Arabidopsis thaliana: one gene and its partners. The protein of the gene in region 1 interacts with the protein of each later gene in a pairwise test. Each region holds a gene or a part of one and is shown in the gene's direction. Other genes may lie near its edges.

Region 1 (8,081 bases):
TTCGGCTATCGAAGCGTTGGTAGTATCCTCTCCTGACATTGCGGATCACTTCGGGTATGTAACACACAGAAAAAAGCTGATGACTCAAGAATCATCCGTCCCCACAGACGGCGACAAAATGTGAATGTCGGATTCACACACTCAAGTATTTATTTATTTAGTGGGTAGGATTATTCTTGAGGACAAATATACTAGAAAATAGATAAATGATCATAGAGAAAACTATGAGTATTGTAAAAGAATGTGTATAGCTAATTTGCACCAAGAAATGCGTGTGTCTTTACATGGTCTTTGACCCACAATTTATACCCAAAGAATACATTTAATACCTATTTACTCACAATCATTATACTTTAAATATATCCGTTTTTAGTCTTTGAATTAACTATTTGAACGTTTAAACCGAGTCCACTCCGGGCCTTCTGGACCTCACCTCTCGGCCCATTCGGTTTCTCCAATTCGAGTAATCCTGACTTCGATGCTGCCTTCACCTCGCAAACCAACATCTCGCCCATACTCTCACCTCGAGGATGCTTATGGGCCCTCCCTCTTATGGGCTTCTTCTACTTGTGCCGCAATCTTTGGCTGGATCCGAATCCATGGTGCGGGATCCGACACCAACATTAATCACCCTGAATTTTTGTTTTAAATATTTATTTTCAGTTAATAAAATGAATCAAATCTTATATTACAATATATGCTTCAATATTTTTATTAAAAATTTTTAATTACGTAACATTTTAAAAATTTGAAACCCTAATTATTTCCCAATCCACATTTTCTGTTTTAAATTTGCAATTGTACAAAATAATTATCACTTCCTAAAACTTTCTTTTCTGATTTTTATTAAAATTTTTTTTTTCTAGCAAAAATAAACTGTGCACGTATTAAGCTAATATTGCTGACTCAAATAATATTAACAAAATGCCCAAATTTAGGCTATTGAAATAATAATAAAGTTAGTAAAAAACACAAGTATATCAATCTAGAATTATGATTAAACTACGTATTTATATATAATAGTTGTTTTACAAAAAATAGCATTATATATATTAAATTTTTTGAAGTACCTTTTTATAGTACTTTTGTGTTAGTAAAGTAAGAATTTACAAAGAATGTCATCACATTAAAGTAATTTTTTTTTATTATTTTTTAATATTGTTGATATATTTTTAACTTTATAAAACATTATTATTATTTAAAATTTTAAAAAAAATATCATGAGACCGGACAGATTTGGATTGATATGAAATATTTCGGGACGGGTTTAGACTAATATAACACTGGTTAAATATTTATTTTATTATTTTATCATTACCAATTTTTTTAGTTACAACATTAATATAAAATTATATAACTTTAATACTAAATTAAAAACTTTAAAATTTAATATTATTATATATATGAATAAAACATTAACCCGTGGTATAATGATGTTGGGAATTTAATGAAAAAAAACCTCAACTTTGGCCAGATCCATTTTTAAACCCTGAACTATGTTTTTAGTAAAACAAACCCTGAACTAAAACCTGTTAATAAACTTAACCCCACAGTAATAAACTTAAACCTGTTAATAAACTTAACATTGATATAATTATGGTAAAATAGAGAACAATGAATTATGTTTGACAAGATCTTCCTTTTCAAATTATTTAATTTAATCTTTGCATATTTAGACTTGCAGCAACTGTCAACAAGTCGGACACAACAAACGTTCATGCAAGCGTAAAGCAGTGCCAAAACCACCCAAGAAACCTCAAGGACGACCAAGGAAAAAACAGAAAACAATGGATGAAGAGAACCCTATCACTCAACCAATACAATCTTCTCTTCAAAGTTAATGCTTGACAAGTCTTTACTTTAGAATATCTTGTCCCTCTGAAACGATTGTTTTTTTTTGTGACAAATATTGTTGTGTTGCAACAGCTTCGATAGTTATGTTGGTTGGATTTATTTAAGCATGACTCTTTGGATTATTTTAAGTTGTTGTGTCTTTCTTTCAGCTTCTAAAATCCAAACTAATTAAGCAATTCAAAATCATTTAGAACACTAAACGTTTTTTTTGTAATAAATTCAAAACAGTTTTAAAGAACATCATGTGGTTTTTGCGCTAAATACAAATGTCTCGTTGTTGTTTTTTTTGGAAATTAATATCCCATTAATATTTAATACTGTGGGGTTAAGTTTATTAACAGGTTTTAGTTCAGGGTTTGTTTTACTAAAAACATAGTTTAGGGTTTAAAAATGGATCTGGCCAAAGTTGAGGGTTTTTTTCATTAAATTCCCAATGATGTTTACTAAACTAACTAAAACAAGTAATAACAAATAAACTTTAATCACTATCTTCTGATCTCATTGATGACACGTCACTATCAATATCTTCTAATTCTTCTTTATTATCTCGAAGGAATTCTGGTTGCTTATATCCGGCTCTGGTCCAATCATAAGACATGCTTGAGCTTCAGGAGAATCTGGGTTCATTCTTGATCGAGTTTCATCTAGTATTTGACCTCCAATGCCAAAAGCTCGCTCGCTCTTCCATCCATGAATGATTTGAAAGTATTACCTGCATCTGCATCACTAAACTCAAAATTTGTAGATAAATAATTTTCAAAGAGCTTTTGGACTAACATAGATATGCCATGAGTTGTCCATAATAAACTGAAACATGTAGTGAAGAACCCTAATCTTGATCACTTTGGATGCTTCTTCATCAAAAAGAATTAGTGATCCTTGTAAACTATAAAATAAAAATATCATTAATACAATTTACAAACTTTTATATATATTACATAATTATAAAATTTTAAAATCCACTAATTTTAGAAAACATATTATCCTGTAATATATCGCTGATCAATTCCTAGTTGTTTATAATTTTTGGTGTGATCATATATATTTTCAGTTGGTATATGTCACCATGCAACCTAATTTGTTTCTTTCAAATAATTATATTCTAATTCATATAGTTTTATCTTTTTGTGGTCTGGAAATTCAAAAGTTTAACCCTAACCCTAAGTAAAATATCTCATGCCTACCCTTAAAAAAATAAAAAATAAGCAGCAGTCCATAATTCCATTATAGAGAAAACCAAAACCAAAACCACAATCTCATCAACCAAATATTATTAATCGTCCGATAACCCAATCTCTCTTTTCTCCAAACGCTTTTTTTTTTCTCTCACTTCAAAATCTCCCCGAGACCTCTCGCCTTCTCTCGCAGCCGACGATCCCATCCAAAACCAACGCTCTCCGGTGATCGTCTTTCCTTTACCTCGCCGACCTTCTCCGTCTTCTCAATTACGATCTATCATCACCAGAATCCGTTTTCTCTCTTTTAACTCCGATACAAAACTTCCGATAATCCCAAATAAACGTTACGAATTTCAGACTCTTTTTTCCAGTTTCTGTTTGAATTCGATTTCGAAGGATTAGATTCTCCGGTGAGATTTTTAGAAGCGTGTTTGATTTTTCAAATCAAAGTTTGTCAAAACTCTTAGCGTGAATTTTCTCCAGAGTTTATCATCTCTTATGTGACTGTGTTTTAATAGCTTCTTCTCTATAGCTCTTCCTTTGTGCTTCTTCTCTGGGAAACTTCTCTATTCGTATACCTAATTCTAGGGTTCGTTTATCCTAACAATTCGAGATTTAGAGGGCTTTAGGATTCGATTTCGTGTTTTAATCGTGTGGATCTGCTTTCAATTCGTTTATCGTTTCGTTCCACTGAATTGAGTTTGTTGATTGCTTAGACTTTTATCCTCGTCTTGTTGTTTGCTCAATTGAAGAGCAGAGTAGCTTCCGTTAGATCTGCTTTGTTGTGGCATTGATGGAGAGGAGAAATCAATTCATGTTACGTGCTCCTGGAATTCTGGAATAATCTTAATTTTCAGTTGAAACAATGCTTTGCTTCTCTTATTTTCCTGTTAATCAATAACTAAGTGTGAAGTGTGGTTTTTATCGAATTTTTTTAGTATCATTTTGATGCAGGTTATTAACTCATTCGTCTTCTTCTTTTTCTTAGTTCTACTGAGACGTTAGAAGAATTGTGGCTGTTGTCGACTGCAAGGAGAGCGCTTACTTTAATTGCTGATTTCATGAGACGAGATGGCTTTCTTTAGGAACTACTCAAACGATACTGTGTCACATAATGTTCTTGATGAAAATGAGGAGCGGCAAAATGCTGCTACTTTTCAGAGTTCACCTTTGAATGAAGATGTGGATGGTACTTATAGTGAAAGAGGCTTTGACATGAACATGGACGTACAGTATCAAAGTGACCCAGAACCAGGATGTAGTATTAGGCAGCCAAATGAGACAGCAGTTGATAATGTAGCTGATCCTGTGGATTCCCATTATCAATCTTCGACAAAGAGATTGGGTGTAACTGGTAGATGGGGTTCCACATTTTGGAAAGATTGTCAGCCAATGGGACAAAGAGAGGGTTCTGATCCTGCCAAAGATTCACAATCCGGTTACAAAGAAGCATATCATAGTGAAGATAATCACTCAAATGACCGGAGTGAAAAGTTAGATTCTGAAAATGAAAATGATAATGAAAATGAGGAGGAGGATAATGAAATGAACAAGCATCAAAGTGGTCAAGCTGATGTCCCAGCAGATGAAATGTTGTCTGATGAATATTATGAACAAGATGAAGATAATCAAAGCGACCATGTGCACTACAAAGGGTATAGTAATCCTACAAATTCTAGATCACTGCCAAAGGCAGGATCTGCTGTCCATAGCAACTCAAGGACTTCAAGAGCAATTCACAAAAACATTCACTATAGTGATAGTAATCATGACCACAATGGGGATGCTGATATGGACTATGAAGAGGAGGAAGATGGTAAACTCTTTTAATTTGGATTCCTAAATAGATTTGACTCTGTTGTTTGTTTGTACGCAGTACTAGAACTTACGTCTATGTTTTTTCCTCTGAATACTTCCCACGTCAAGTGCTTGGTTTGAACTTCAGTAACATTTGATCTTATTTCTCATCAGAGGATGACCCTGAAGATGCTGACTTTGAGCCCTATGATGCTGCTGATGATGGTGGTGCAAGTAAAAAGGTTTGACTTCTTACAATTCTTGTGTTGGGATACATGTTCATCACAATGAAGCTAAAACTGAACAAAAGAAGGGAGATACTTTCTGAACCATTTCTTAACTAAGTTTGCTATTCGGAAGGATCTTCATTTATAGTTAACATGTTGTGTTCTAGCTTGTTACTTGTTATAGTTTTGATGGGATTTCTTACATGTTACAACTGTGTGGTTGTTTGATTTTAGCATGGCCAAGGTTGGGACGTTTCTGATGAAGACCCTGAGAGTGATGAAGAAATTGATCTTTCCGATTACGAGGACGACTACGGAACAAAAAAGCCCAAGGTTAGGCAACAAAGTAAAGGTTTCCGGAAATCAAGCGCTGGACTCGAACGAAAATCATTCCATGTTTCTAGTCGACAAAAGAGGAAAACATCATATCAAGATGACGACTCAGAGGAAGACTCTGAAAATGACAATGATGAGGGTTTTAGAAGCCTGGCCAGAAGAGGCACAACTCTCCGACAAAACAATGGAAGGTCCACCAATACCATAGGACAGAGTAGTGAAGTTCGCAGCTCCACCCGATCAGTTCGTAAAGTCTCTTATGTAGAGAGTGAAGACAGTGAAGATATAGATGATGGGAAAAATCGTAAAAACCAAAAGGTATGATATCTTGTTACATTTTTTAAGGTTATACATTTTTACACCCTCAACTTGCTTATGTTATCGTGTGGGAATCTAATACATTTGATAGAGACTGGCAGTAGTTTCATGAGCCTTCTCTAAAGCGGTCTAAATAACTCATTGCTATAGTTATAATCTGCACGTCGTACATATTATCTTTCTGTTGGAAACATGTTAAATTTGGAGAACTTACGGTCTTTTGATTTGATTAACTCCAACTATTTGACCTAGAGCAGCCATTAATTTCAACTACTTGGCCTAGAATGAAAGCAATTTCTTTAGAAGCCTTGCCCAGCTACTTAATGAACTTTTTTGTTATGTTATTCCCTTTTATCTGATATATGCTCGTTAGGATGACATTGAAGAGGAGGATGCTGATGTTATTGAAAAAGTGCTCTGGCATCAGCTGAAGGGTATGGGTGAAGATGTTCAGACAAATAACAAATCAACAGTTCCTGTTCTAGTAAGCCAACTGTTTGATACTGAGCCAGATTGGAATGAAATGGAATTCCTTATAAAATGGAAAGGCCAATCACACTTGCATTGTCAGTGGAAAACGTTGAGTGATCTCCAAAATGTACGTCCTTTGGACTCCTTTTTTAATTTTAATTTTGATCAATGTATTGCATATATTTTAGATAATGCTAATTTTTATTGTTTCTTTACCTATGTTGTGTGTTCTTACAGCTTAGTGGATTCAAGAAGGTTCTTAACTATACAAAGAAAGTGACGGAGGAGATTAGGTACAGGACAGCACTCTCGCGAGAGGAGGTAATGTTTGAATGTCTGGAAGATTTTCTGCTTTTTATTATCCTTATATGTACAAGGAAGAATGCCATGAGATGCTACTCTGATGGTTCACAACATGGTTATATTTCTTATTTAGCTTGTGAAACCATGTTTACCACGTAAGATACTAACTTTTTGTTTATATTTAGGCATTATCATATTGAACATGTGCTGCCATAGTATGCATTGGAATATATCAAATAGATCTGCCAGAGTTGTTGTTATGGTATATAAATCTGAAATTCTTTCACTTGATATATTTTTTAACCTTTTAGATTGAGGTCAACGATGTGAGCAAAGAAATGGATCTGGACATCATTAAGCAGAATAGTCAGGTTAGTGTTTTCGTTCCATCAAATTTGCAATCTCATTTCACGTCTCATCTGCTGCTGTTTACATCTATTGCTTTTGCAATTTTTATTAGATTATTCCTCCTCTGAGCTAATTTGTTTATGTTATTTAGGTAGAAAGAATAATTGCAGATCGAATAAGCAAAGATGGTTTAGGTGATGTTGTACCAGAGTATCTAGTAAAGTGGCAAGGGCTATCTTATGCTGAAGCAACTTGGTATATTCTCTAACACTCTCAATGGATATTATTACTTGTTTCCTTCTTTTTTTTATAGTGATTGTGTTGTTTCATAAATTGAGAAGCATGCTATAAGATGATTTACAATTTGTAATTATGTATCTATCACCCCTCAAGTATCATTTTCTTCCTGTCTTTTTTCTTTAGGGAGAAGGATGTCGATATAGCATTTGCACAAGTTGCTATTGATGAGTACAAGGTAGAGTTTTTTTTTTTGTTATAATTCTGCTTGAATTTACCATTTGGCTTTTAATTTGTAACTCTTTGTCCAACTCTATATTTTTCCATCTTTTTAGTAGTAATAAGAATATTGGTATTAAATTCTGTAGTTTACATCTTGTTTTGTAACACAAGAATATTCTAAAAGGAAATACAAATGCTTATCAAATATTAAGAAACTTTTTTCAGAATATTTAACAGTGCTATTATACTTAGACTAGTATATACATGGGTCTGTTTCTGCAGAATCAGATGATTAAAAAACCTAAGTTGCTTTAATGCTTGATGTAATTTCTATCTATGATTCAGGCTCGTGAAGTTTCAATTGCAGTGCAAGGGAAAATGGTGGAACAGCAGCGTACAAAAGGAAAAGGTTTGTTACATAAAATCAATAGTTTTGTAGTTTTCTTTGTTTCACGTTATATGGAAAGCAGACAAGAAAAATACTCTTCATTAGAGAAACTGCCTAACCTTGTGAACTGGTTCTTTATAGTTTGGTCTCTGCATTCTTCGTCTCTCGAATCCAAAAGTTATATGTAAAATTTGATTATAAACTGACCAGCATCTTTGTCTTTGTCTTTTATTCATTCACATAAAAATGTGAAGGGTACAGTGTAATAGAAAATTAAACAACATACTTAAGAGAGGCATCACTTAGATTTTTATGCTCTGTCACTTTGCTATGTTTTGTCTATGGTGGCAACGTATGCTTCCGTTCCCATTTTATATCTGATATTTAGAGTAGGTGAAAACT
Region 2 (8,076 bases), on another chromosome or scaffold:
TATTGATTGTCTCAGCATTTGATTACATAAAAATTTACATTATTTTTTGTTCCATTTTGGTCGAACCTTTCTTATCTTACCAACCATTAGAGAGTGAGAAATAATTGCTTCTGAGACTTGAATCAAAATCTGAACAACGAGTGGTGATCCAAAACGATGGCATTTCAGGAAAAGAGTTGCTTCTGAGACTGAATTAGAATCTGAACTTGAACTTTCTGCTTACTCAGTTGACGACAGTAAACTACCATTATTGCTGCCACCGCGGGTAAAAGTGGATGAGATGGAGCTTGGAGAGGTGGCAATGGCAATAGTTGGATTTGCAGCAAGTTATGAAAAGGTGGTATAAAGCTTAAACAAGTGGTGGAGCTGGAGAAGGAGAAGAAGGAGCTTGAGTTGCAGAAAATGCAGTCCTTTAAAGCTCAATTAGAGGTGTTACGGAACAGTCGCGAGGATAGAGACAGTGAGAGAAGAGTCAGAAGTCACCAATAGTGTCAAGGATAACGGCAATGTAAGTTCACAGTTGAAGAGATGAATGTTTGTAAAAGTGAATTCTGATGATGTTTAGGATTGTGGCTTGAAACATGACAGTGTAAATCGAAACTTCAGATTCTGAATATGGCACAAATTTGATGAATAGTCAAAATACTTGAAAAGATACCAACTTTATTTCCTGAAACCAGTTACAAAGTGATAGACACAGAGTGATTCATGAAGAGCTGAACAAAAGATAAACGCCACTACTACTATTACTACTTCATCTGAAGGATGAATTTTGAAGACATTAAGAAACAGAAACTCAGAAGAGGTCGTCAGAGTCTTCTTTAAGTGTGAATTCGCATGAATCGAACCGCCAAGCCAGAGGAGTGGAAGGCATCATAGAGCCATGACGGATTGGAGAGCGCCATGGAGTCGAGTTCTTCAGCCAATCAGAAAACTTGGGCGATGCCATCTCTTCTGGTTCTTCGTAAGTCAGATCGTCCTTAGCATCCATCTGAAACCAAAAACACATAGGATAGAGTCATAAAAAGTGTCACTTTAAGTTCCAAAACTAGATTAAAGATGCAGTCTCACCAAAATCTCCATCAAAGACAGAGAGATAGACATTGTTTTTTAAGTACAGTACCTTTTCAATGTCCCAATTGAGATGCTTCTCCTTGATGCTGGAACCTGCAAGTACAAAAGATCAAGTTTAGCACAAGCTTACTCGCAAAGATTGGTTAAACATCATAGCTTAGAAGATCTAAATACAATACCATGATGAAGTAGCATGAGATCAGCAGAGTAGTGATCATCCCAAAGATTTTGCTGTTCTTTGATGCATTTGCTGTGATCATGTAAAAACCTTTCCCCAGCTATATCAATCTCTTTCACAGCAGCAGAAGCAATTTGCTTGTTCTTTGAAGAAGCAGCAGCTTTCGCATGAATCCCAGACTTGTTTGTAATATCATTCAGAGCCTTACGAGCTCCTCCAGGTTTCTTCTGACCAAGTACAGTCCCTTTGGATTTCACAGAAGCAGCAGTGACAGACTCTGTAAATAATAGCCAAGAAAGAAAATGTTAAATCTTTGTTTCAAAGCAATATGATTTAAAGAGAGTAGAGAAAGATTAACTACTTTTGCGATGAATTGGAGCGTTCTCGTCTGGGAAGATCATTTGTTGAAGAGCGTTCATGTTCGCCATATGGTTTTAACTGTGAATCATCAAAGAACCAATTGCAGAAACGAAGATTTGATTCCAGAACTGACGATTTTAAGCAATTAGAAACCCTAAAAAAGGTAACAGAAACCCAACTCGAAATCGAAACAAAGATCGTTTTTTTCACAAAACCCAATTCGATCCTCAAGCAAATTTAACACCACAGACCCCAGAAACCCAGAACGAATCAAGTAGCGACATACGAAAAGAAGAACAAACAATCGCAAGAAGAACAGTCTATAATGTGAACCTAAATCAGAAGGAAGAAAGAGATTACCTTTGTAAAAGTGAAGAAGTTTCTTGGTGAGATTCTTGTTGGAAGAGAAGTGTATAAGAAGATGAAGAAGAGCGCTTAGAGTGTTTAACGGTAACTTTTCAATGTTGTTCTGACGAAATAATGAAGAACCTCCGGGATTAGGCCAAAAAAAGTAAATTTATAGAAGAAGAGAAAAAGTTTCTAGCCGTTGGCAGAATATTTTAATGCAGGCCTAATCAAGAATTGGCCCAGGTACAGGCCCATCACATAAATCAAATTGACGGCATCAAACTATCATGTAAGATAGAAGCAAAACATGTCACACTTCTCTAAGTTATCTTCTTATCGGCTAGATTTATCATCATCCTTGATTAAATCTCCTTAATTTTGGAAGGTTAAATTATAGGTAAAGTGTATATAATTAGTCTAACCAAGGATATTCAACGCTTCTCGTTCCTGTTCCTTATATAAAACCATTATCCTCACATAAAGAAGACTTAACAAAAAAAAAACTCTTTTCAAAACACATTAGAGACAATTAACAAGAAAAACCCTTCTAATAATTTGATCAGAGATATGGGTTTTTCGCACAAGTTGTGGGATGAAACTTTGGCCGGTCCAACGCCGGAAAATGGTCTCGGGAAGTTGAGAAACCACATATCCGGTGAAAGTGCCAACCGGAAGTTGATGGTGGATCTGAAACGTGTCCCGAATTCTCCTGACCGTTCAAGCAACCCCGTTTCCCCTTTGACTCTTATGTTACCTTTTTTAAAAATCCTTTCTGATCCACTTTTTTTTTATCTTCTATGCTTGTGTTATGAGCAGTTAAAACCCTATATATTCATGTAAATTAAAGACTTTGCAAGGTGATACATATGTTCATAGTCATTATAAGCTTTTTTTTATTATTTTTTTTTTTTATTTTGACATCCATAATCATTATTAGCTTGAGAGTATTATGGATTTGTAAATTAATGATTACCAAAATCATTTGTATGCAGCTGGAACACCAAGTGAAACACATGCTACAAGTCTCAATGCTTGCGATTGGTTTGATCTCCCTCTCTTTTCTTTCCTCTCAAACTATACTTCATTTTATCCAACGCATTATCGCTTTCATTAGTACCACCATATCTAATTAACGTCCGGTAATACTGCAGGATTGTGCTAAACGCATTGGACCGTTGAAAAATATTACAAGGTATTTCTACGAGAAGAAGAAGTATCCCAAACTACTTTTCTTTGTATATATATATTTGCTGTGTACATAACATAATGGTCGCTTTTGGTGTTTTGAGATTTGAGAAATATTAAATTTCTGTTTGTTTCACAATTCACGAAGATTATATAAGGTCTTTTTGAAACATAGTATTTCTGGAATGTTTAAAGTTGTATCTTTGACAATGGTGAAAAGAAAAAATGATACTAAGTGATAACATGCTAACGTAGCGTATGGAAAGCCCAATAAAAACCCATGCCCAAAGTAAATAACATCCACGTCACCGTTCTTATTGTTAAAAGAGAGACTAATTCGAATCGATTTAACGAATGAAGCAAGACAACGAAGGAAGACAACTGGAAACTATCGACGGACTAAAAAAAGTCTACGACCGATATTGAAACTGACGGTTAGGCTAAGGGTAATTTCGGTACATCACCGGAAAAATGGTTCACGGGGATAGTTCCGGTAATTATAGTAAAACTAGATGGGCTTTTCCGTCAATACACTTCCTCATCGGATTACGAAGAAATGGGGAAATTACGATACAAACCCATCTTTTACCCCTAAACCGAGCCGGCAACTTTACCGGTGACGGAATCTTACCTCTGACCTACCAATCACGTCATTCCACGTCATCTCCCCGTATCTTCTCACGTCCTTCCACGTGTCCCCTCTACTCACCGACGCCGTCTCCTTCCCGTTTACCCCTCCCGAACAGAATATTAACCCAAACCCTAACCCTATCTCCCTCTTTCACGAGCTTCTGACTCAGATCCGGCGATATCGAATTCCATGGAGGACGATGAAGACATCCGATCTCAGGGTTCCGATTCACCTGATCCGTCTTCCTCCCCGCCGGCGGGACGAATCACGGTTACGGTGGCTTCGGCAGGTCCGCCTTCTTATTCTCTGACTCCTCCGGGTAATTCGTCGCAGAAGGATCCGGATGCGTTGGCTCTGGCGCTGCTTCCGATTCAGGCCAGCGGTGGAGGGAATAACAGCAGTGGGAGACCAACCGGCGGCGGCGGGAGGGAGGATTGTTGGAGCGAAGCAGCTACGGCTGTGTTGATTGATGCGTGGGGTGAGAGATACTTGGAGCTTAGCAGAGGGAATCTGAAGCAGAAGCACTGGAAAGAGGTGGCTGAGATTGTGAGCAGCAGAGAGGATTACGGTAAAATTCCCAAAACTGATATACAGTGTAAGAATAGGATCGATACGGTGAAGAAGAAGTATAAACAAGAGAAGGTGAGAATCGCTAACGGCGGTGGCCGTAGCAGATGGGTGTTCTTCGACAAGCTTGACCGTCTGATTGGATCAACGGCGAAGATCCCGACGGCAACTTCTGGAGTCAGCGGTCCTGTCGGAGGATTGCATAAGATTCCTATGGGTATTCCAATGGGAAGTCGTTCGAATCTGTACCATCAGCAAGCTAAGGCTGCAACACCGCCTTTCAATAATCTTGACCGGTTAATTGGAGCTACGGCTAGAGTCTCAGCTGCTTCTTTCGGTGGCAGTGGTGGAGGAGGCGGAGGAGGATCTGTCAATGTACCTATGGGAATTCCGATGAGTAGCCGTTCAGCTCCGTTTGGACAGCAAGGGAGGACTCTGCCACAGCAAGGTAGGACACTGCCACAGCAACAGCAGCAAGGGATGATGGTGAAAAGGTGTAGTGAGTCGAAACGCTGGCGTTTCAGGAAGAGGAACGCTTCTGATTCAGACTCGGAATCTGAAGCAGCAATGTCAGATGATTCCGGTGACAGTTTACCACCTCCTCCTCTGTCGAAGAGGATGAAGACGGAGGAGAAGAAGAAGCAAGATGGTGATGGAGTGGGGAACAAATGGAGGGAGCTGACTCGGGCAATCATGAGATTCGGTGAAGCTTATGAGCAAACAGAGAATGCGAAACTGCAACAGGTGGTTGAGATGGAGAAAGAGAGGATGAAGTTCTTGAAGGAGCTTGAGTTGCAGAGAATGCAGTTCTTTGTGAAGACTCAATTGGAGATATCACAACTTAAGCAGCAACATGGGAGGAGAATGGGAAACACCAGTAATGATCATCATCACAGCCGCAAGAACAACATCAATGCGATTGTCAACAACAACAACGATTTGGGTAATAACTAGAATTTAGTGATGCAGTGTCGTAATTGATATATTTTAGATTTGAGTCTTTAATTGTTGAAAGAGAAACTGAAACTTATCTAGGCTTCATGAGTGTATTAATATTTTGCATATCTTTCTTAACTTTGGTCATATGGAACAGATTTAACTTCACTAGATTGCCTGAGATCATTCTGCTGCAGACTCTTGTGCACGTTTTTGAACTTCTCTTAATCTCTGAGTTAGATTGTGTTTCACTAGTTAGGTTAGAACATGGCATAGGACATTTTTGACACAATCCAACCGCAAAATCTTAAAGCTATGTTTGGTTATTATGACATTGGAGATTTGCATGTGTACCTAAAAGCATTTTTTTAACTCTTTTTCTTTTGAGTAATTGTTTGAGCTAGATTTTCTTGTGTCTGAAGCATCATTCAAACCACCAATGATGATCTTCTATAAAAGAAGAATGTTAGGCAAGAAACCTTTTCGTTGGTCTGTTTATTTATTTTTCTATGATGTTTGCCTTTTGGCATTTTATAGGTACTAAACAAATGACAGTCAATTCAAATTCATTACACATAGATGTTTCTCACAATTTTACCTTCCGCACTAAGCTAATATTCATGTATCGAAAGGTGAATCATGATATTTGAGTAAAAATACCATCTTCCGAGTCCCACCGTAACATCATTCTAACTTGCACTATTCTTATTTTTTTTTGAAACGAATACAATAATGAAAACGTAAGAAATAAAGCATCTTGAAATCTTCTGAATTTTGTTTTTGTTTTAGGTAGAAAAGAGTTTGATTCCAAAGGTCCACGTGTGTTTAGACATATAGATTAGATATTATCTAATGATATATTGGTATCACTAGGATTACTAATCAAGATTTTTCCTTAGTAAAGTTCAAAATAAAGTTTTTTTTTTCAAAATAAAGTTTTTTTTTGGAACTAAATCTAGCAATAAAAGTAGTGATTACTAAAGAAATAGTAAATTATTAATGTAACAAATGAATATTCTTTTTTTTTTTTTAAAGTGGGCAAGAAAAGATACCAAAAAGAAAGAAAGAATTGGGTAGGATTTAAAGCCATGTCTCCATTATAAATATATAGTTAGGGTCAATTGTCCATTAAAATTAAAGAAGAATAAAGAGTGATATCCTATAATTAGATATTTTTTCAGGGGGTCCATCATTTGATTTAAAGTGTCTCCAAAAGTTGGAATAAAAATGGTTGGTGTTAATATTATTAATTTTCAGTAGAGTAGAATAAGCTCTAATTTAAATACTTCTTTTTGTCAGCATCTATTTAGTACAGTGTTTATTTAACATAATATACATTTTGCACATAGAGATTTTACTCTAAAACAGCGAATCGTTGTTACTCTTAACGTTAAATATTTGGATCTGAAAGGCAAAGTACCAATATACCCATTTGTTCCTTGGCCCATCTGTGGGTAAGAGACTAATTTACCCCTCCAATTTATATACTTCACAGCAATAAATTCGAAGAATAAAAGGGTATTATGGGTAACTAACGAAAGCCGTTTAGGATTCGGCGAGACCTGTTTCCGGAATTTCGTAATTACTGCCGACTTTCTTTGATTTTTGTTTAATTTAATATTTCAAATTTTACGCTCTATTACTCTCTTTTTTTTTTTGTTTTGTCATCGTATACGCTACTTCACGTCAACAAAAATGGTGATTTTTGTCTGAAGAACGTTTATTTCTTTCTCTTGATTTCACTTTCTCTCTCTAAAGTAGATTTTTGACAAAGATAGATTACGGCGGAAGGAAGGAGACACACAATGATGGGAGAGATATTGAATCCATCAGCGGAAGTGAAATTAATTACGAAGTTGACTTGAGAGTTTTGAGTGAAGCCAAAAACAGAAGAAAACAATCTTCATTGTTAGGGTTTTAATAAGCTTTAAGAAGAGGATGCTGAATATAGAAAGCAGAGAAAGAATCTCGACAATGATAGTAACTATTCGAATGTGAATCTGAAAGAGACTGATTCATCGGAAACAGACGAAGATCTCATTTTGTTTCTATTCTCAGGTATGGTCTGATCCGAGCAGGACTTCACTTGAATTTCAATGGCGTTTTGTTTCCTTATTGGATTTGGGATTTTACTTTATGTCTTGAATTTGAATTCGAATCATGGGTCTTCGAGGATTCGTCCTTATTGGGCGTGAATCAGTTTTCTTAGTGATTGGGTTTTCAAATTTCCATGATCGGAATCAGATCTAGCAATGTGTTTGATTCTGTGATTTGTGTTGGGGTTTCTATTATTGTGATGTTGGTTTAGTTGGGTTAAATTGAATCCGTGTATGGACACTGCTTTTATGTATTTACTGATGATACTTCTATTGTTTAGTCACGTTTCTCTTTGATTTTCTCTGGACGCTTCAAATTCCTATAGCATTTACGTTTAGAGACGAACTTTGTTTTGCTTTTTACTTAGGATAAGCTTTTAATGCTGTCTTTGGGTATGTGAAGGGGGAAGACTGAAAATTTTGTGTAAAGGGGTCAAGATGAGACCAGCTATACCTCTTGATTATGCTGTCTTCCAACTCTCTCCAAAGCGGTCAAGGTATTAAAATCAGAGAGTGAATTCTTCATTTTTGTGTTAGTTGGTTTTTTAGATACTCTTCTTGTTGTTTCTTTCTGGCAGATGTGAATTGTTTGTATCTACTACGGGAAATACTGAGAAACTTGCTTCTGGACTGGTGAAACCATTTGTTGCTCATTTGAAAGTTGCAGAAGAACAGGTTTCCCGGGAAGTTCAGTCTATCAG
Region 3 (10,202 bases), on another chromosome or scaffold:
AAGATGTTCAACGCTCACAAATATGTTAGCATATGATATGATTAGGTTTTTGAATTCTATATTTTTATATGTCGCAAGCGCACTACAATTAATAAATCTTCTTAGGGTAGAATTTCAATCCATAAGCAGGCTACTAATTATACCATGAATACTACCATTTTCCCCTCTTTTTTTTATTTATGATAAGGTTTCTACGTTAGTAACTCTTATATATATGTTTTGACTGTTACACACTTGTGGAATCATGATGGCTGGATTGGTGATTCGACCATTTTGACATTGAAAACCGGTCTCCCTCCAATTACCTTGAAGCGTTATGCAATAAGTGTAAATGTCTGCTTTCGAATGGTTTTAGCAGTCCATGAGGCTAATCGACCCAACCCAACTCATAGACTATAGAGTTACATCATTTCCGTTGCATGTCTCTTGTGACACAAAGAACTAAACAAGATAAGAGAGAATTAGAGAAGCTATAAAACATAAAATCACTACATGTCACATTTATCATTTACTATGTTGAATATTTTTACCGTTCAATTTAAAGAAATCCAACAATATGCTTAAAATAATTTTTTTGATTAATGTTTCCAAATTCTATATGTTCTTTTAATCATATGGTAATTGATTATTTTCGACCATTCTGATAAAGTTTGGAGTACACTGTATTTTTTTTTAAAAATAGAAGAAATGTATATATAAATTAACTAAGAATATATTAAGTTTTATTGTTTTAATAAAGTAGTTTCATTGCTGCATGCACTCTGCCATTTACATAAAATGCAAGCCTTGTAATTTACTTTTCTTCATTAATTGTTTAAGATTTGTTTTCAATTTTAATTTTGTTAAGAAAACAAATCTTAATACGTTTTTTTATTTTGCTGGCTCTGAGGCAACAAACTTTTTTTACAATTACTTCTTTGTCATCCCCACTTAATCTGGCCTTACCGTTTTTATTTGGCTTCCCGGGTTATGCATAAGAAGATGTCAAGTAGGTGAGAGGTTGGTGTGCGTAGGGAATTTGCAATTAACACGTGTTTATTTTAACTCTCTTCAATTTTAAATGGTGAGAGTAGACGTAGCAAACTAGTCTAATCGCGAACTAAACCACTTTATATTTTTTGAACGAAATAGAAATTGTTGTAGTTTTCTATAAATTATTTTTTAATAATCTCCAAATAGAGCAACGTATCCACTTATATATATAACCTTATCTCTTTTTTTATTGGAGAAAAAAAAAGTACACTGTGATAATTTGAACTCATATATATACACACTAGTTGTGTGTGCTTGTCTTAAGAAAAAACAATGGGATCAATGGCTCAGAAATCGGTTTTGATGTTATGCGGAGAGTTCATGGAAGCCTACGAGACTATAGTACCTCTCTACGTCCTCCAAGCGTTTGGTGTTAGCGTCCACTGCGTTTCTCCTGGTCGCAAAACTGGCGACAAGTGCGTCATGGCCGCTCACGATCTCCTTGGCCTCGAGGCATTTCTCGAATCTTTCACTTTTTCTTCATTTCAGTTTTTTTCCCTTGCAATCGTTCTTTGCATATTTAGTAAAACAATGCGATCAAATGCTCATAATTGGGTGGACTTTCCCCTTTATTATCTTTATCCAAAAAGTTTAGATAATTGGGTGGTCTCAACCCAAAATGCATGGGCCTACTCTTAACAGTAAAAAAGAAGAGTTTCAATTTGACTTTTACCTTTTTACAGATATACACCGAACTGGTGGTTGACCATCTAACACTAAACGCTAACTTCGATGGCGTCATCCCCGACCAATACGACGCCATCATCATTCCCGGTGGACGTTTCACGGAACTTTTGAGCGCCGACGAGAAATGCGTGAGTCTTGTTGCTAGATTCGCCGAACTCAAGAAGCTCATCTTCACGAGCTGCCACAGCCAGCTGTTTCTTGCGGCGGCAGGTCTGCTCACCGGTGGAATGAAGTGCACGGCGTTCGAAAGCATGAAACCGTTTATCGAGCTCTCCGGCGGCGCATGGTGGCAACAGCCTGGAGTCCAGACCCTTTTCGAAATCACTGATTGTGTCAAGGACGGCAGTTTCATGTCCACTATGGGGTGGCCAACGCTTGGCCATAGTCTCAAAGTTTTGTTAGAATCACTTGGCTCCAAGATTTCTAGCTCTAAAGAGAATCATCAGACTTCTTTGCTTTTCTTGATTGGGGTAAGTAGCTTATTTTCATAAGACTCTCTTTTAGACTTTATATATTGGAATTAAAAAAATGGTCTGACTAATACGTAATTTTGGTATATTTAGGATTGTGTTGAAGATTATAGTATCAACGTACCATTTAAAGCGTTTCAAGCTTTGGGATGTAAAGTGGATGCAGTGACGCCAACCAAGAAGAGAGGTGAGAAATGCGCTACAATCGTACACGACCTTGAAGACGGACGGCAACTTCCTACTGAGAAGTTTGGTCACAACTTCTATGTGACCGTTGCGTGGGATGATGTCTCTGTGGATGATTACGACTGCATTGTGGTTCCCGGAGGAAGATCTCCGGAGCTCTTGGTGATGAACCCCAAGGCCGTCGAATTGGTCAGAAAGTTTGTTGAGAAAGGCAAGTTTGTTGCTGCCATTGGAATGGGAAATTGGCTACTTGCCGCCACAGGCGCCCTTAAGGTAATATACACCGTTTTACAAAAATTCGTTTTACTATTCTAAAGACTTAAAAGTTAAAACTGAAGCCGAACCAAACCATATTTTAATTTAAACGAAACAAAAATGTCAAGATAAGTTGCTCTAAGCACATAGGAATCTCCTATGGTTATGGTTATGACTAATATTATTCCAGCATATTGTTGAAGGTTAGTAAGATATAATTCATCACATTTATGGCACCACTTCCTTAGCATAGATTATAATTTTTGCCAGCTTGTTATAACTCATCTAATTCCCATTGTGGCATGCTATATTATTACATTGCAGAAGAAGAGATGTGCAAGTAGTTATGGGACAAAGGTGGCTGTGAAGGTTGCTGGTGGTGAGATCGTGGAATCTGAACGGTGCGTGACCGACGACAAGCTGGTCACAGCCGCATCAACTTCCGATCTTCCTGCCTTTTTGTATGCATTGTCGACTGCACTTGGTCTCTCTGTTGTATTCTAATGTCAAGTGGTGCTTTAACGTCTAATGCCTAAAAAAATAAAAACATATCTTTGTATGTCGAAATATAAGGTCGTCCCTCTAATTATTTATGTACAAGCTTGGATTTGCATATATATATGGGAAGAAGAGTTGCCACACTTGCTTACACCTCTTCTAATTGTGTTTTTTTATAAGAAATTACCACTATCAAGTTGTCATTCTCCTCGTTTTACATTTGGTAAACAAGCTCTATTGACCATTTATGTTGTAACACTACTTCAAGACTAAAGTTGATTAGAGATAGCAAAATCTGTCACCAGCAAATTGTGTTTCCTTGTTAAATACTAGTAACAGATTCCAAACACATTAAATTTTGTGAAGTTAAATTTAACAACATACTATAAAATAAAACAACACATAAACGGATTAAAGACGTTAATGTTCATCCAAAAAGTATACTGAACTTTTAAATAATTTACCGACGAATTGTACTGTTTATATCCGACCAATATAGTTAATCACATTTTAATCACTGCATAAATTTACTCATAGGAATTACAATTACCGAATTAGTTTCGGTTTAAAATTTGTTGGATCAATAAAACAAAAAAAAAAAAACGATGCCAGAATATTCCGTTCGTCGGCGTAGTCTTTCCCGCCCCCAAATTATCTGAGCAAAAACCCTAGACTCTCGATTTCGTCACGATTTTCTCAATCACCTTCACTATACTGCTTCGATGGACTCTCACTCTTCCCACCTCAACGCCGCCAATCGTTCCCGCAGTTCTCAGACTCCTTCTCCTTCTCATTCCGCCTCCGCCTCCGTCACTTCTTCTCTCCACAAACGCAAACTCGCCGCCACCACGGCAGCGAATGCAGCCGCTTCTGAAGATCACGCCCCTCCTTCTTCCTCTTTCCCTCCTTCCTCCTTCTCTGCCGATACTCGCGACGGCGCTTTAACCTCCAACGATGAACTCGAGAGCATCTCCGCTCGCGGCGCCGATACAGATTCAGATCCTGATGAATCAGAGGATATAGTCGTGGATGATGACGAGGACGAATTTGCTCCTGAACAGGACCAGGACTCTTCTATCCGCACATTCACCGCCGCTCGACTCGATTCCAGCTCTGGAGTCAACGGTTCGAGTCGCAACACTAAACTTAAGACGGAAAGCTCCACGGTGAAGCTTGAGAGCTCTGATGGTGGAAAAGATGGTGGATCATCTGTGGTTGGGACTGGTGTGAGTGGCACTGTTGGAGGAAGCTCAATCTCAGGGCTCGTGCCAAAGGATGAGTCTGTTAAGGTATTGGCTGAGAATTTCCAGACTAGCGGAGCTTACATTGCCAGAGAAGAGGCTTTGAAAAGAGAGGTAGCTTATCACTGGATCTATGCTAATGAATTACTAGATGAGTTCAGAGAATCGCCATTGACAAATTTGGTGATATCTTTCATTTAGGAGCAAGCAGGACGACTCAAATTTGTTTGTTACTCAAATGATTCCATTGATGAGCATATGATGTGGTAATGCCTTCCATCATTTGTCTCCTGCCATTGAATTTAGCTTCTAATCAGCTATGCATTCTTCGTTCTAACCTCGTTTTTTATGAATAATTTGTTGAATGTATTCCAGCTTGATTGGGTTGAAGAACATTTTTGCAAGACAGTTACCTAATATGCCCAAGGAGTACATTGTTCGTCTTCTGATGGATAGGTAAACATGCTAAACTAAAGTGAAACATTGACAATTTTTGTAACAAACAATCGCAAATGGTAAGCATTCTAATATCTGTAACTTATGTTATTTGCCCAGGAAACATAAGTCTGTTATGGTACTAAGAGGGAATCTAGTTGTAGGTGGTATCACGTATCGTCCATATCACAGGTAAGGTTTTCGCATAACTCTTCCCATCTTTTGACCCAGTGATGATTTTCTCCACCATATGTATGTGAATACGCTTATACAGCTTTTTGCTGTTTAGAGAGTAGCATGTTGACTTGTTATCTTATATTATCATCAAACACAGCTTACTTTTCCTATAGAATATTTCTGAAACTGTCTGATGTCATAATGAGCATGAATACAGTCTTGACATGCTTATTAACTCCATTGTTTCCCTGGGATTCAGTCAGAAGTTTGGGGAAATAGCATTTTGTGCAATCACAGCAGATGAACAAGTAAAAGGTTACGGTACCAGATTGATGAACCACTTGAAACAACATGCACGTGATGTTGATGGATTGACGCATTTTCTTACTTATGCTGACAACAATGCTGTTGGTTACTTCGTCAAGCAGGTTGGTGTTTCGTATATTGTGCAATTTTTTGCTCTATTTTTAATCTCTCAACAAACTTCGACCAACTGTAGTACATTCCAGAAAAGTAGTTGAACTGTGTTTTGGATGTAATGTTTTCTATTGGTTAATAGGAGATACCTCAGAGTTTCACTTCTAAAAGTTCTGTTTCCACACTTAGCTATCAAGTCTACTTTCTGGATTCTAACTGTAATTTTTATATTCTTACAGTCGTCCACTAAGTTGATCTGTTACGTCTATTATCTTGTGCAGGGTTTTACTAAAGAGATTTACTTGGAGAAAGATGTATGGCATGGGTATGGAAACTATGTATCTCTTAAGTTCAAACTGCTCATTTACCATTCTTAACTTCTGTGCTTTATCTGTATGATGTCTAACTTAAATATTTGTTGGCCCAATTAAGCTCACAAACCTTAGAATACAAGCATTTTATTGCGTGGCTGATTATGCTACGAGAGAGCTATTTAAAACTTGTCTTTATCATTCTCTTCTTCATCTTGAAACTTACTTTTGCAAATAAAAACCTTTGAAATTTTCTTAGGTTCATTAAAGACTATGATGGTGGTCTCCTTATGGAATGCAAAATTGATCCAAAGCTGCCATATACGGATTTGTCAAGCATGATACGCCAGCAAAGAAAGGTAAGCCTTTGAAAATACCTTTTATGTGGTGAAAAAATATCTCGAGCCTTCAGGTTCATCTATACCCAAATAGTTCTTCAGGTTACGAAGCTATTTGTTTACTTTCTTTACTTTCACTATTTAACTCTAGCATTATGGCTGATTCTGAAAAAAATTAAAAACATAAGAAATACAAACTTGAGGATTCGATTATTGAAAGTTCCTCTCTTCTCTCTCTCGAGGAATTAATTAATGGAAATTCCTGTCTTCCCCTATGAGCCCAAAAATCAAGCTGCCCTCCCAAAAGCTATCTGCTTTCAAGAGAGCATAGCAACGTAACACTAAACGAGTAACCATTGTTACATTTCTGTCTAATTATACGTATCAGTTTCTGATCCGGTTGTACTTTTATAATATCAGGCAATTGATGAAAGGATAAGAGAGTTATCAAACTGTCAGAATGTGTATCCAAAAATTGAGTTTCTAAAGGTAAACATCAATGGTTTCATGTCTTGTGGCTATTATTGTATACAATGTTTCCAGTAGTAATAATAAATGAGATGATTTTTGCAGAATGAAGCTGGAATTCCTAGAAAGATTATCAAAGTTGAGGAAATACGTGGCTTAAGTAAGTTATGATTCTACTTGATGGTGTTATTGCAGTTTCTTACCCAAAATATAGACATATCTCCCTTTAAAATGTTCTAGTCATCTCAAAATTAAGATTGTGCTAGTCGCTCCATGAGATCAAGTTGATATGCATGTTTGAGATTCTCCTGCATTTGTTAGCTGTGGGCTAAGGGTTTATCTGTAATACATGAATTGGCTAATTCATGAATTATGGTATACTGTTGCAGGGGAAGCTGGTTGGACCCCAGATCAGTGGGGGCACACTCGTTTCAAATTATTCAATGGTTCTGCTGATATGGTGACAAATCAAAAACAGTTGAATGCACTCATGCGTGCGCTTTTAAAGGTTGTGATAAATCTTTTTTGTTTTGTTATTAATTATTATGTCCTCTTACATATTATGTTATTGCAATTACATGCCCTTTAATTTGACAAGCTGTAGTTAATTGCTACAGACAATGCAAGACCATGCTGATGCTTGGCCTTTCAAAGAACCAGTGGATTCTCGCGATGTCCCTGATTACTATGACATCATTAAGGATCCCATTGGTAAGAAGATATAGTTAAAATATCAATTTCGCTATTAATTATCCAGAATTTGTCCTCTTTTTAAGTAGAAGTGTTAAATCACTTTGGTAACCAAAAAATGGTTTGAACACAGATCTGAAGGTAATTGCAAAGAGGGTAGAGTCGGAACAGTATTACGTGACATTGGATATGTTTGTTGCGGATGCGAGACGGATGTTTAACAATTGTAGAACTTACAACTCCCCCGATACCATTTATTACAAATGTGCAACCAGGTAAGACGTTTTTTTCTTTCATTTCATTTCTTCTCTTCTTATTCAGTAATGAAATAGTGCATTTACTTTGTTTTTCTTTCTCTTAAAAGGTTGGAAACACACTTCCATAGCAAAGTACAAGCAGGTCTCCAATCTGGTGCTAAATCTCAATAGAAGAAGATGGTAGAGGTTATATTAATATCATTTTCTAGATCTTTCATTTTAAGATACTTTCATTGGAACTGGGAATACATGTATACTATTTTAGGCCCATGTATACTGGAGCTTAATTGTTTGTATGTTTTTTTTTCGGATAGGTAAATATTTGATTTAGTTAGATTCAGAATGTTTAAGTTTTTACTTTGTAGGTTAAATTTGTTCTATAAAGCTTATTTCCAACTGTAAAGACACATTTCATTTTACTAAATGTTTCTGATGAAAATCACATAACCAAATTTTGATATCGAACGGGATCACCAGTTTCGGTGGTTTTGATCGGATCAACAATGGTGAAGAGAATGAGCGTCATGGGTCATTTGTGTTTACACGCTTACACTCACGCTTACGCTGCACAGATTTCTTTAATCTGATGAATGTGAGTTGTTGTTGCTCAACATTTCGTTAAAACGGTTACGTTTGCCATAAGTAACTATTGATACATTTGTGTTTATACGCTTACGCTGCTGCACATGTTTACGTGATTACGTCTACGACCATTTCAACTTCGATTTGCCTTAGAAGCACGATAGCTTATACATTCTTCCATCATGTCCAATCATATATATAATATTAAGAGTTTACCGTCGCTGAGTCATACAGTAAATAAAAATACAGACAATAGTTACCTCAATCAAAATCACAAAACCAATGACTCTTTTTCTGGTTAATGCTTGTGATTCCAATGGGGTAGGGTTTCATACAGATTAGAATCAGGAGCAAATGGATTCTGCATGCCTTCACGGTTCACCTGTTCCGGCAAGAAATTTGCCGTCTCCACTCTCTGATTTTGTGCTAAACCAGCACTGGTGTTGGTACTTGAATTTGCTGGTTTCAAAATGTGGTTAGAGTTTGGCGGAATACTAGAGGAAGCACTCGGTGTGTTGCTGAATGGTATGCCCATGTTTGGTCTTGACCAATGCAAAGGGTTCACTCCTGTCACTCTTTTCACAGTTTCCTCTGCCATCTTAACCTGCACAGGTTTTTTATCAATGCAATTAACTTAGTTATTAAATCATAATCTTGGGTGTTTTAAATTCTTAACACTCGTGAGTCACAAGAGTACCTTTGTTCTCAAAGTTTCGATATCAGCTCTTAGAATTCTGTTGTCAACAGCAGCTGCATCATACTTATGATTCATGTCACTAAGACGATTAATTAAAGTTGAATGCTCGGCTCTTAATTGGCCTACCTACAATTGGTAAAAACTTTACCTATAAACCCCTGAAGACTGTTGAAAAGTAAGAAAGACTCGAGAAATGTATAAATGTATGAGCAACTAATAAAAGACCGAACCTGTGTATCAAATTCATTCATTTGTTCTTGCTTTCTTCTCCTAGAGCGCCTAGCGGATTCTCGGTTTGAGAGCATCCTGGGTAATTACAAAAAAAAAAAAATGAATCAGGATGACCTTCGAAAAAGTTAAATATATAGAGCCTGACTGTTTCCTAAGAACAACAGTCACAACATAAAATTGACTGAAACATTCCTCTACTAGATTTCAGTTCTTTCTTTCTCTTTAGAGAGAGTAGAAAGTAGAAACTATTAGGTACAAGCCTTTTCCCAAAAGCATGTCTATATCTATCAGCCTCGAGATTCAGAACGATTACCAGAAACATTCTAAGGTACAAAAATCAAGATTTGTACCTCCTAGCACGCTTCACATCAGTAGGATCTCCATTATCTGCGTCTCCATCAAGATCATCGTCATCAGAATCATCTCGTGATGAAATACTAGTTTGTCTGGCTGGAACATCAGGTTTCTTTTGCGTGCTTGTTGTGGGAGAAAATCTAACAGATGAAGCACCAGGTGAGGTTTGTGCCACAATGGAGCCTAGATAATTTCAAAATAATCCCATTATCCACTAACTGAAAAACATTTCATCCAGGTACATATCACAAGAAGCGGGAAATAAGAAAGCTATCTAGTATAATGCACTAACTTACACTAATAAGAATGGAGAGTCAAAAGGCTAAGAATTCTCATCTAAACGCATAATACTACGTATGCCTTGTTTCTTTCTTCTCAGAGAAAAAATTGACTCGACTAGAACAGAATTAAATATGAATGAACACAGAGAAAGCTGTCATCTCCAAAACAAAGCCTACTTATCTTCAAATTCCCTTAAAGTCTTGAGTTTACTGAGAGAGATTAGCAGTTAATTAATTGTCTAATCAAATTGACAAACAAATCTCGATGAAATGTTTGCTCTCTATGTAATCTAAACATTGACATTGACGAGAGACAAAGCTAGAGAGAGTCAAAAAACCAAAACCAAAACAAAGCAACGATACGTGACCTTGAGCTTGTTTTTGATTGCTAGCTGAAGCACTCGAATCTTCCGGTTTCACAGTTCCCACCTGAAGAAAATCATATCAAATCAACACACAACCAAACATTCCTTATTGTTGAAATCATCAATTCCTTTAATCTGAATACACATAAGAAATGGATCTAAGAGACGTACACGACGAGCAACAGCAGCGCAAGCAAGCTCGAGCTTGCTCTTAAGAATCGCATGATACT

The links.
Region 2: the proteins of CHR5 (region 1) and ASIL2 interact in binary tests that used the Arabidopsis thaliana proteins (3 or more experiments, as listed by UniProt).
Region 3: the proteins of CHR5 (region 1) and HAG1 interact in a two-hybrid assay, tested with the Arabidopsis thaliana proteins (one study listed by BioGRID).

What each region holds. Positions count from the first base shown.
Region 1 is NC_003071.7:5,551,566-5,559,646, reverse strand, and holds the start of CHR5 (chromatin remodeling 5), read left to right. Parts: upstream 1-3,086; 5' UTR 3,087-3,442; exon of another isoform or gene 3,443-3,848; intron 3,849-4,020; 5' UTR 4,021-4,103; coding exon 4,104-4,848; intron 4,849-5,003; coding exon 5,004-5,071; intron 5,072-5,290; coding exon 5,291-5,710; intron 5,711-6,083; coding exon 6,084-6,308; intron 6,309-6,418; coding exon 6,419-6,502; intron 6,503-6,795; coding exon 6,796-6,855; intron 6,856-6,983; coding exon 6,984-7,087; intron 7,088-7,255; coding exon 7,256-7,307; intron 7,308-7,636; coding exon 7,637-7,700; intron 7,701-8,081. UniProt on the Arabidopsis thaliana protein: DNA-binding helicase that specifically binds to the promoter of target genes, leading to chromatin remodeling, possibly by promoting deposition of histone H3.3. Probable chromatin remodeling factor.
Region 2 is NC_003074.8:4,704,511-4,712,586, reverse strand, and holds ASIL2 (sequence-specific DNA binding transcription factor), read left to right. Parts: upstream 1-3,410; 5' UTR 3,411-3,965; coding exon 3,966-5,297; 3' UTR 5,298-5,785; downstream 5,786-8,076. Other genes in the region: AT3G14190 (uncharacterized protein), read right to left, coding at 797-991, 1,124-1,167, 1,254-1,529, 1,614-1,680; AT3G14172 (GPI-anchored adhesin-like protein), read left to right, coding at 7,814-7,872, 7,954-8,076. UniProt on the Arabidopsis thaliana protein: Transcription regulator that may repress the maturation program during early embryogenesis.
Region 3 is NC_003074.8:20,209,743-20,219,944, forward strand, and holds HAG1 (histone acetyltransferase of the GNAT family 1), read left to right. Parts: upstream 1-3,663; 5' UTR 3,664-3,850; coding exon 3,851-4,483; intron 4,484-4,570; coding exon 4,571-4,635; intron 4,636-4,744; coding exon 4,745-4,825; intron 4,826-4,924; coding exon 4,925-4,996; intron 4,997-5,240; coding exon 5,241-5,409; intron 5,410-5,679; coding exon 5,680-5,723; intron 5,724-5,968; coding exon 5,969-6,068; intron 6,069-6,467; coding exon 6,468-6,536; intron 6,537-6,620; coding exon 6,621-6,675; intron 6,676-6,904; coding exon 6,905-7,023; intron 7,024-7,132; coding exon 7,133-7,226; intron 7,227-7,338; coding exon 7,339-7,480; intron 7,481-7,569; coding exon 7,570-7,633; 3' UTR 7,634-7,911; downstream 7,912-10,202. Other genes in the region: DJ1F (Class I glutamine amidotransferase-like superfamily protein), read left to right, coding at 1,306-1,485, 1,716-2,189, 2,283-2,648, 2,955-3,134; BZIP25 (basic leucine zipper 25), read right to left, coding at 8,343-8,648, 8,742-8,867, 8,972-9,047, 9,323-9,509, 9,976-10,036, 10,144-10,202.